Nothobranchius furzeri: one gene and its partners. The protein of the gene in region 3 purifies or fractionates together with the protein of the main gene of each other region. This does not show direct contact. Links are inferred from orthologs where the notes say so. Each region holds a gene or a part of one and is shown on either strand. Other genes may lie near its edges.

Region 1 (3,340 bases), on a different chromosome or scaffold from region 3:
TTGTTTATGACTTTTCAACCAGTAGAGCGAGGGAGCAGGAAACTGCCTGGTGTTACTTTAAGGAGGAAGTCCTCAATGTGAGATTACAGTGTTTTGGTGAAACATTTGCTTAGAATCAGATGAGTAAACTTTACCGACATAAATGTTTCTGTAATAAAGATCTAGATTTATACTCTGAAGCAGAAAACCTTCTAGACACAGGATTTACGTGCCTCAGGGCAGCTGTGGCTACATTATAGCTCATCACCAGCGTGTGAAAGTGTGTGTGAATGGATGAATGGCTGATTGTGTTGTTGTGCACCTCGGGGCGGTTGTAGAACTATAGAAGGTGCTATTTAAATAAAGGCCATTTACAATTTTTACCTAATAATTATAATAAAATGCAGATGATCAAAAAGAAAAATAAATCATTAATGTGTTGATGTGACCCAGTTTGTCACTAGCACGTGTGTATGTGTGTGTGTGTGTGTGTGTGTTTTAGTGCACCGGTTTTCCATGGTTATGCCATTTACCTTAACAGCTCCACTGTTAGCTTCGATGTAGATGACGTCTCCCACCTCCACCCGCTCTTTCTGAAGACTCTCATAAATGCTGGGATCCAGCTGAACAAACACAAAAGCATCATCAACATTTAATGATTTTGTTCAAAACTGATTAAATCGGACTTCTATAAGAATGTAATAACAGAACTCAAGTATGCAGCCTAATGAAAACGGATTTTTCATCTTTAACCCAGAAACCTGGAAACCACTTCTAAGTCATCTTTATCTACATTACTAATCATCATCTCACTGTTTGTACACAAAACTGTCAGCAGCAACAGGTTATTTGACTCTCGGTGATGAAAGAACTACAGATGCAGATTTGAACCCCCAGTCTGACCTTCAGCTGCTTTGTGCCTTTGGCCGTCTTCAACCCGATGATGACGTGACTGATGGTTTTCCCGTAGCCGCCCATGGGATTCTCCGTCTCACAGGGAGTCAGCTCCGTCACCTCGCCTTCATACACCTCCTTTGTTTCTTTGATGCGCAGCCCTAAAGGAGAGCGGCGGTACAGTCGGACCCAGACACGCTTCAAAATGAGAATTCAATCAGGTCTTTATGCTCCTGCATCGGCTAAGCCTTCACATCTTTCAGACGACCAAATAATGGATTTTATTACAGGAAAGAACGTGCGTGCGTGTGTGTGTGTGTGTGATGCCAGTGCATCACTCAGTGTAACATGATCACACTCCCACACAGAGTGGCGTGTAAGCAGCACAGGTGCCTGCTCCTCTGTGCTGAGGGTCAGAGGGCGGTTTTTAAAGCAGACCGTGCAGCAGAGCCGTTAGTGACAAGGTGATGAAAAGCTGCAGATGCTGTTGTACGGGTGGAGCAAGGGTGCTGATGACCACCTCTGCTTCTAGTTAAGCTCCATTTCCTCTCCACTCGACAGGTACTATCAGCAGTCAGACAAATCCCTTCCCTTCATCATGTCTCCCACATAAATCCCTCCCTATGAATTGGACACTACCTGCCACCTTGCAACACAACAGAACAAGTCATTCTCTTTTCATTTTCACTCAGTTCCTTAAAGCTGCAAGGAAACTTTGTTTCTGACCTCAAGCACAGCTAATGTTTAGCTAGTTGCCTTTGCTTCAAATCAAAACAGAAGTTCAACCCAATACTGAAAAAGTCCGAAAAGTCTGATCATTTCCTCCATGAACTGCATAACTAAGTTCATAAATCCGATTCCACTCACCGATTGCTCTCCTGAAATTCTCCATCAGTACTTCTGTCTTTTTAATCTCAGTGGAGTAGACCTCACTGCCCACCATGGGGCAGAAAGGCACTTTGTTTCCCAACTCCTGAGCCACAGCAAGAGCGAGGGCAGTCTGCAGGGGTCAGAAGTCACAATAACCATAATAACAATAACAACAAAAGCCATGCTTGGTGCAGTTTCAGACGGTAACTCTAAACTGTTTAAACTACGGTTAGACCGATTTATCAGGACGATATTTACAATTTTTTTTATAAATGATAAATGACCCGCACTTGCATCAATCATCCATTCACTTCACACACACATTCACACTGATGGCTGTTACACCTCCTTAGTAAAGCCGAGTTAAAGTCAGGCACATCCCCGGGCAGCCTGGTGCTGCTGCACAATTTTATTTAACTGTTTGTTTACATGATTGCTGAATTACATCTCCTAATAAATGCTCAAAAAATATTTTCAACTAGGATTTCTAATCTACCAGTTTTTAATATTTAAGACTTGGTCAGTTTACTAATTTGTTAGATTATTTTAGTAAGATGTCTGATTTGAACACCGAGCAGTGCACAAAATTAAGATTTAACAGCTGGTTAAACTCAGTGTTTTGTGCATCAGCTGTTGTTTTTGTAACATTTAGCAAAAACATGAGGTGGAAAACGTCTAGATATCGGCTATGAAAGTCGGTCCAAAATATCGGCAGCACAAATCAGCCATCGGCTAACTGTGACATTTACCTATTGGCAATAGAAAAGCCAATATCGGTCAACCTCTACTTTAAAACGCTGCACACTAACCTTTCCTGTTCCGGGTGGGCCTGCCAGTAAAACCGCCCTTCCTGCCATCTTTTTGGAGCGAATCATCTCAACAATGATGCCACAAGCCTGGAGAGAGAGAGAGAGAGAGAGAGAGAGAGAGAGAGAGAGAGAGAGAGAGAGAGAGAGAGAGAGAGAGAGAGAGAGAGAGAGAGAGAGAGAGAGAGAGAGAGAGAGAGAGAGAGAGAGAGAGAGAGAGAGAGAGAGAGTGAGAGAGTGTCACTACGATGTTTATCCAGAGCTGTGTAAGGGTGTGTATAAAACAAATACAATCACATTTAAAAAGCAGATATGAAATGGGAAACAAACAAAATTTAAGTAATCTGGTGATCATTAAAGTCAGCTTTGCTGAAAACCCACAAGAATAAGGTGGTAAATGTTAAAACAAGCTAAATATCTTTTGGTGATATTCACAAACTTTTTACCAGGGACAAAAAAAAAGTTGTGTAATTTATTACATGTATTTCTAAAATGACAGTTGTTTGTTTATATTGCTGAACATCAAGAGGAATGATGGAGCGTCCTAAAGCTGCATGTGTTTTCTCTGTAAACGATTGAGAATTTGTCTTTGAAACGAGGAATTATTCAGACATCAGTGTGCAGAATATAAATATAAAACCATTTTTAATTAAAGTCTTTTTCCCCTCAAACCATGTTTTGGAACAAATCACACCAGTAGAAAGTTGACTTGAGTGCATTTGGTGAAATGACCGATCTGTTGTTCAATTTTATAATCATCTACAATTATGTAGTGTACAGTGAAACAACCC
Region 2 (3,221 bases), on a different chromosome or scaffold from region 3:
AAGCGCGGTTGTGTCCAACCCCTCTCAAAGTAACTGGTTCTGGAGCCAGAGCCATGCCTCAAGGTGAGTCAGACTATATTTAGCCAGAACCTCTCAAGGTGACGTTCCACATACCAAGGGTCAGCTTCTGAAGCTGAGGATCAAAATGCCAATGTCCCTGCCACCCATCACACAGCAGCACAATTTAGTCTCCAGTTAAACGAAAACACGTTTTTGTTTACACTCAGGCAGCAGTAGCATCACATGTGGATCTCAGCAAAGACACACAGCAAACTTGTTCACTTGTTGTTTATTCATCATGTGCAGATTATGACACAAACATGTCCAGGAGGAAGACCATGGTTCTGAAACGCAGTGAATAAATGTACACCAGTCAGAACAAAAGGTCTAAACAGCACATGAAAAACACCAGCTTACATTAATAATCCAGGTTATCCATGCACACACACACAGGAAGCAGGAATGTGGTTCAACACTTATCACCTCAGACGGAAAGAACCTCTCGCAGGTAAAGGTCCATCAAACTCCCATCATTGTTGTTGTTGTTGGGTCACTGAGATGAAACTGAGCCAACAAACGCAAAACAAGCAGATGGTTTTAGTTCTTAGTCCAAATGACCCGGGCTCAGACTTAGTCAACATCTCTGACTGAGGAGGAGCTGCAGCTCAGGGTAGAGGCCATTTGTTTCTCCTCCAAGGGACAGTGGTGTGTCAGTGAGGAGGTGATGGGGGAGGAGGGGGAGGGGGAGGGGGAGGAGGAGGAGGGAGGGAGAAGTCGCAGAAGGGGACAGAGTTTGGAGGCCAAACAGAGGAGGAGAATGCTGGATTGAAGAAGGAAGGAGGAGGAGGAGGAGTAGGGGGGTAGAAGGGGAAGCTAGGTGGGGAGAAAAGAGGAGGAGGGTACTGGCAGGAAGGGGGGAGGTACACAGGAAGTACATCGGGATGAGCAGAAGGAAGGAAAGAGTGGGGATGTTGAGGGGGGGTGTTTCTGGGGTCCTGCTGCTTGACTCGGGATCCTGCGTGTCGCGGTGGGAAACCCCGTGTTCTATGATGTCTCTGCTGCTGCAAAGACCTCTGGGTAATCTGAGCAGATTTATCTGAAAGGAGAAAAACAGCTGGTTTAGTTTCTGCTGGTCTGACCCAGAGTCAAGCTGGCCGGAGTGCCGGTGTGGACTCTGCCAGGCCTCAAGCTGACTCACACATTAACGAAAGCCTCTTTTAGAAAACTGCGCCGCCAATATGCCGCGGTGGCATCAGGGAGCCGTAGGTCATTTATAAGTGGTCAGTCTGTGGCGATGGCGGTATAAAGGGGACATGGGGGCAGTCTCTGCGCTGCAGTGGACTTCTGGTTATCTTGGACATTACTTGTTTTTTATTGCCATCAAAGCCGTGCTCTTTGGGTTTTTTGACAAGCTGCTCCCAAAGGTGTCTGTCCCCCACAGTCCCTGGGTAGTCTCTGGTGATCTGAGCTCCATCTCTAATGGAGAGAGGCTCCTGGAGCTCTGCATCACTCCAGTTTATGGTTTCAGTTGGTTTTCTTAACAAAAGCAAAACGTACGGCCAGTTTTTACTTTCATTTTCAACATAGTTGCCAGCCAAAGCTCGGCAGTAACTCCACACGTGATCATGACACCTCCTTCTGTTGCACCAAGGCGTAATATGCACTCACAAGTCTGGCGTTGCAGTAATGTTACTACCAAGCACAGCGGCACTAATGCAGAAAGACTCCTTAACGCCGCATTCATAAGACACACAATGCTGATTTGCCGGCATGCGCATCTTCTAAAAAGGGCTAACGACATGGAAGTAACAGAATGGAAATTAGCTTTAATCCTGGAAGAGCAAGTCACCCCAAATCAACTTATTTTTTTCTGATAAACTATATAAATGCATGTCTAAATGCACTTTAATGCATTTTAGTTAAAATTAAAATTCTCTGCCTAAAACTTGTCAGTGCTGTGCCGTTGTCGGGTAAAAACTCTGCACTGCATTTGAATTTAAATCTGCTATCGCTATTGGCTAAGGGGTACCTTAGAATGTTAGCTGGTACCATATGATGTCACAATGTCGTTGTGAGCCTGTGTGTGTGTGTTTGTTAGCGGCTCCGCCCTCTCGGTCTGCTAGGCAACATCATTTGTTGCATTTTTCAAACAGGAAGTGGGAGTTGAGTAAGAATCTGGTAGGGGGTGACTTGCTCTTGAAGCTGCAAACATTCCAGAACCTTCAGGTAACAGCAGACCTGGTCCTGTCTGCTTGTTTGTTTTGTAAGTCAGTGCGTTTACATGCACATCTAAGTGGATCTAGGTCAGAGTCTAAAACTCATAACCTGGGAGTCTTTATCCTAGTTTACACGTACGTTAGAAAACCAAACTCTCAAACGAAGTTTGTTCCACTCCGGTGCAGTAGGTGGCGACATGCTTTTGTGTCGGATTACTTCCGGTTAGCTTTAAGCAACACAAATGGTAAACAAACGCTGGCAGAACGAAGCAGAAGTTAAAACAGGATATGCAGAACGGCAGACGGAATGAACACAGCTCATTTGGTACGTACTGTCCGGTTTGACGGTGTTACACGTGTTATTTTGTGGCGACGATATTATCAGAAGAGCGCTCCTGCGGTCTCGTCACATCCAGAAGTAACCAGTATCAGCTCAACTGAGCTGTGTACATGCAGATGAAGTCGAGTCCCTACTTTAAGAACCAGCGTGTCTTCAGCAAGACTAACGCATTTACGTGCATTTTTAAAAGTCAGTCTAGTCATGGAAACGGTTTGGTTTTCTGATGCGAATGTAATGCCTGAGTGATGACATCATGACCAGGTGACCATTGGACCTACCTGTGTGGCCATTTTCCTTTCTTTTGGCATTTTTAATTTTCCTCTTTGCTTCCTGCTCTTTCTCATCGTCACTGTAGTCTAAAGCCTGGAGGGAAGAGAACAGACCGATTATCACCCAGCAGTGTGTGTGTGTTTTATAGACTGTTTTTGGATTAAAAAGCACAAAAACAAACAAGAAAATAAAACTGACCAAACTAAAATGTGGTCTGTACAGATTTCCACTTTGTTCATCTTTATTCTGTCTAATCTTGTTAGTAGAGAATAATTAGAATAATCCCGTTTTTAATAGAAAGTAATTGATGGGACCCTGACTGACTGAACAGCTTTAATAAAAGAAAACTCTTAAGTAATGGAAATATGTGTACAAGGTGCTTTAGAATACCCAAC
Region 3 (4,198 bases):
GCTCCCATACTCGTGAGGTTTTTGTCCGGGGTTTCTCTAAAGTTTTGTCGCTTCTATTTTCTTCCGTATTTCCTCTTGTTCCGCCATCTCTCACAGCAAGATGAGCGTCAGTAACGTGATACGTCATGAAAACCGAGGGCACTCATTGGCTCATTTCTTCTTCTACGGCTCCACTGGTAGATCAGTGGCTCATTACTGCCACACACTGGCGGCAAATTTAACAGCTTGTAACCGATGTCAGATTGTGGTAAAAAATAGACTTTATGCGGTAAAATATGATTATTAAACAACTAATCGATGACTAAAAAGGTTGTTAACTATTTTAATAATCGATTATAATCGATTAGTTGTTTCAGCTCTAGACAAGACAGAGCTGAAAACGGCTTGTGCATGCGTCGGTCACTGCCTCCGCTCAGGTTTTTTTTTTAATGTATTTATTTTAACTCTCTCACTCACACACACACACCTCAGTCAACATAGTTTTGTTTAACCGTGTGTGGGAAAAATGCCAACAATGTGAGGAAAAAATCAGTTTAATCAAATTAAAATAAATTCTAGTATTTCATATTTCCTAGTTCCTACTGCATGAGTTCAGATGCATTTATTCATGCACTTAAACATTAATGTTCTGATTTTACTGAAAAACTTGTTCTGTAATGGTTTCTTTACTATTGTGATCAAAAATATTTAATCTCAGTTCTGAGGCTGCTCTGTAAATAGTTTTCAGATAAACAATACACATATCAACTTCTGATCAATCCAATTTCAGATTTAAAATAATGCATTGATGTAAACCACACCCACTAATTTACAAATAATAAATAAGAGGTGCATTCATCTGTGTATCTCCTTTGATCCGCATTAGTGATATTTTCAGCACCAGAACAATGAAGCAAAGAAACAGATTCCTGAGTTTGTTAGTAATTTTATTTATTAGGTGCATCTAACCTGTTCTATTTTTCTCTGAAATGAGATCAAATCAGTGCTTCTATGGGTTGTCTCCTCTCTGCACTAGAAAAATTTACTTTATTATAATGTTCACTGTAATGCATCTTGATGTTCTTAACACAAATTAAATCAAAGATATGGGTCAATAATGCCAAATATGTAAATTTTTGTTTCAGTCATTTTTATACTGGCTTAAAAATACTTCATTAAGTCTACTAAGCAGGGGTGTAGAAGGGTTTTTAATATTAACATAAAGGTGAGACTTGTCAATCATTCTCCCCCCAGCACCACCACCGGAAAAATTCCCAGGGGAAACGCTTGTCTGACAGCTAGAGCCGATTCCAACAGGGTTCTAGTCGAGTCAACTCATTACACCAGATGAAACCACAAACATGTCACTAAACAGAGCAGATAACAAATGCTTTATAGCACAGAGTCAATGTGATCAGAATAGGAGGTCGTCTTGGCTGTGGTCAAGTGGGGTCATTCCCCAGACGGCTACTGGTCGTGGTCAGGCAGAACGCCGAGACCCCTCTAGCAGCCGCAGGAGAAGCTCTGATCCAGAACGGAGCAGAAGCAAAGACCACAACAGGCCCACAGCACTCAGAGAATGGATAAACCAGTTCATCATATCACATGACCAGGGTCAAACATGTCAGCAGGCACAAACAGGAGGAGGGGTTCCTGACCTTTAATAACAAGGGCCACTGGGAGGAGTCCAAAGTGGGGACTTTGGTGTCTGGCTGGATTAAAAACTCTTGACTCTCTTGGATCTCCTGTTGAATAAAAACATCAGTTTGTTCAACAGGAAGAGAATCTCCAAATAGATCTTAAGTTGAATAAATTCACACCAACCCCAACATCTTCAGCCACTCTCTTCGACTTCTTCTTCTTCTTTGTGGATGCTGCAAAATAAAAACCAAACTAAAGTAGCATAAATCCTTCCTAAAATCAGAATTCCAGGATTTTCTCAGAGAACAACAATCTACCGGGCCCTAAGTGGTGTTTTGTCACTAGCCAGACTGCTCAAGTGTTCACCAATATTCTAGACGAGTCTTCATGCCCACCGGGAACTGAACATTGCATTATAACAGGTTACTGGTCCCAGGTAACCTCAGGTTAAAGGTCACTAACTCCAGGGACCATACTACACCTGCTTTTTAAAAGAGTGTTCAACAGGTTTATCCAGGCGATTACCTTCATGTGTGCAGGAGCAGCAAACCTGCAGCACGTGCAGCATGGTGGCCCTGGAGATGGGCCCTGCTCCAGTGCAACTCTGAGCCCAAAAGGGCCTTTCAGTGGAAAAAGTACGACCGAAAGAAAGTATTTTATCTGAAGGAACAGAAATTTAAATCCCTGTTGCAGTTTGGTAAATTTGGAAAACTGTAAATGAATGATATAGAGCCCACGTGGCCTGCAGCTGCAGCACGTGGTGGAGCGCACGTGGCTGCTAGCGGAGCTAACAGGCCACTGACCGAGAACCCGCTCTCTCAAAGTTAACTACACTAAACGCTGCTGGAGCTTATGAAGAAAACACGAGTCCACAGAGCAAACCCTTAGTTCTGTTATTGAATTAAACCCAACTACTAAAGCATGTTGGACACGTGGAGGGATTTGTTTGTTTTAACTGGCTCAGACGCTGCCAAACCTCCTCATAGACCAACTTAGGAATTTTTTTTACTGCGATTCCTTCTGCGTAAAACACGCTTGTACGTGCACGTGGACGTGTTGTTAATAAAATCCCTGACTCAGCAGAATTATGTTCAAACTTAGCAATAAATTAAACACAGACTGTCGCTTACAAAACGTGCTCGACACTCACCAGCTTCGTCCGCCATCTTCTAATGAAAGATTCTTCTTCTGCTTGATGTTTTATGGCGGCTGGCACGAAAGTACTTGGTGCACTACCGCCACCAACTGGTCACAGAGCAGAAATGAAACCAAATGAGGTAAATAAATAAATGAATTTGCTATTTAAATACAATTTTTACATAATTAAATATAAAATGGAAAAAAATAAATGTGAAAAATAATTCTGACTTTTCTTTCGGTGGTTCTAATGCTCTTCTTTAATTAACTAGCATCCTGGGGGGAAATAAACACTAAAAAAGGCCAGTGATATTTGGAGTCAGATAAGTCTGTCATTAAGTAGTGAGACACAGATCACTGGTGGGCCTCTAGTGCAATAGTGTGTTAAAAAACGGAAAAAACATGAGATGACTGCGGATTTTAGAAGAAACGGGAACATGCTAAATGCTTGTTCCATCCTGGGAGAGAAGGTGGAGGTGGCGGAGGAACATAAATACCTCAGTGTCCACCCGGACGGCAGACGGGACGGATCAGTGTTTACAGTTAACCCCAAAATCCCACTATCTCCGCGTAGTGGAATTTGAGTGTCCACAGCTGCAGATCCAATAAAAATACTTCCTTTTTTATTGTTTGATAAACGTGTGTCCACTCCAGGCCAGGTGGGGGCAGTAATGCTGCACTGCTACCACCCACAAACGTCGAAGAAGAAGAAGACTCAGCATAATTCAGCTGGATTTTATGCGAGAACTTCAGGATCAGATGGAAGGTGAGGATCTTCTTGATTAGTGAAGTAGTTTTTGTTCAGGTCTGAATAACCTGCAGCTTCCGGGTTAAAACATTCTGATGACGTGTGGATGTTTTACTGCAGGGTTGTAAATGAAACCCTGCAGAACCCAGCTGCCTCATCAACATTCACTAGGACAACTTATTTAGATCGTTCCTGTCCGCAGGTATTCTGTCCCATTACTCGTGGCCACACTGCTCCAGGTGTTCTTTCTCCAGATGTTTCTGCTCTTATCACAGATGTTCAACAGCATCTAGATCAGTTCAGAACAGTCCAGTGCTTGGTTCTGATCCATTCTCGGTGTTCCTAGCTGTGTTTTCTGATGATAGACTCTGGACAGTAGATTTGGCTCCAGAGGGTCTTGGTGGTCCTGGGATTGGACCCTGAACCTTTTCAGGAATCCTTGGTCCAGGTGCAGTGAGTCCAGAACAGAACTGATCTTCCTCCATCTTCTACAGTGTTTCTAGAGCCGATTTCCATCTCATCAATCAAAATGATGCTCTCCCTGAAGCTCGTCAGTGTGGTTTTTGGTGATCTCTAGTCTGTTCTTTTGGGTTTTTCTGTCACCAGGAATCCTCCTGGGTCTTCAACCCCTCATGGTGGGATCAGAAAGGCTTCAACAGTCCTGGATGCATTGTTTGTCTGATTCTTCCTTCT

What was found.
Region 1: the proteins of dkc1 (region 3) and ruvbl1 purify together in Homo sapiens (affinity purification with mass spectrometry; 4 studies listed by BioGRID and IntAct, counting the BioPlex papers as one, with this or other methods). This does not show direct contact. The link is inferred for Nothobranchius furzeri from reciprocal best matches to the Homo sapiens genes DKC1 and RUVBL1.
Region 2: the proteins of dkc1 (region 3) and H/ACA ribonucleoprotein complex non-core subunit NAF1 purify together in Homo sapiens (co-immunoprecipitation; 7 studies listed by BioGRID and IntAct, counting the BioPlex papers as one, with this or other methods). This does not show direct contact. The link is inferred for Nothobranchius furzeri from reciprocal best matches to the Homo sapiens genes DKC1 and NAF1.

The regions. Positions count from the first base shown.
Region 1 is NC_091743.1:48,433,238-48,436,577, reverse strand, and holds part of ruvbl1 (ruvB-like 1), read right to left. Parts: intron 2,640-3,340; coding exon 2,553-2,639; intron 1,874-2,552; coding exon 1,741-1,873; intron 1,035-1,740; coding exon 883-1,034; intron 603-882; coding exon 513-602; intron 1-512. UniProt on the Homo sapiens protein: Possesses single-stranded DNA-stimulated ATPase and ATP-dependent DNA helicase (3' to 5') activity; hexamerization is thought to be critical for ATP hydrolysis and adjacent subunits in the ring-like structure contribute to the ATPase activity.
Region 2 is NC_091747.1:73,496,112-73,499,332, reverse strand, and holds the end of H/ACA ribonucleoprotein complex non-core subunit NAF1, read right to left. Parts: intron 2,920-3,221; coding exon 2,835-2,919; intron 1,097-2,834; coding exon 711-1,096; 3' UTR 566-710; downstream 1-565. UniProt on the Homo sapiens protein: RNA-binding protein required for the maturation of box H/ACA snoRNPs complex and ribosome biogenesis.
Region 3 is NC_091758.1:16,263,570-16,267,767, forward strand, and holds the start of dkc1 (H/ACA ribonucleoprotein complex subunit DKC1), read right to left. Parts: upstream 2,866-4,198; 5' UTR 2,787-2,865; coding exon 2,771-2,786; intron 1,854-2,770; coding exon 1,804-1,853; intron 1,725-1,803; coding exon 1,638-1,724; intron 77-1,637; exon of another isoform or gene 1-76. Other genes in the region: cinp (cyclin-dependent kinase 2-interacting protein), read left to right, coding at 3,496-3,523.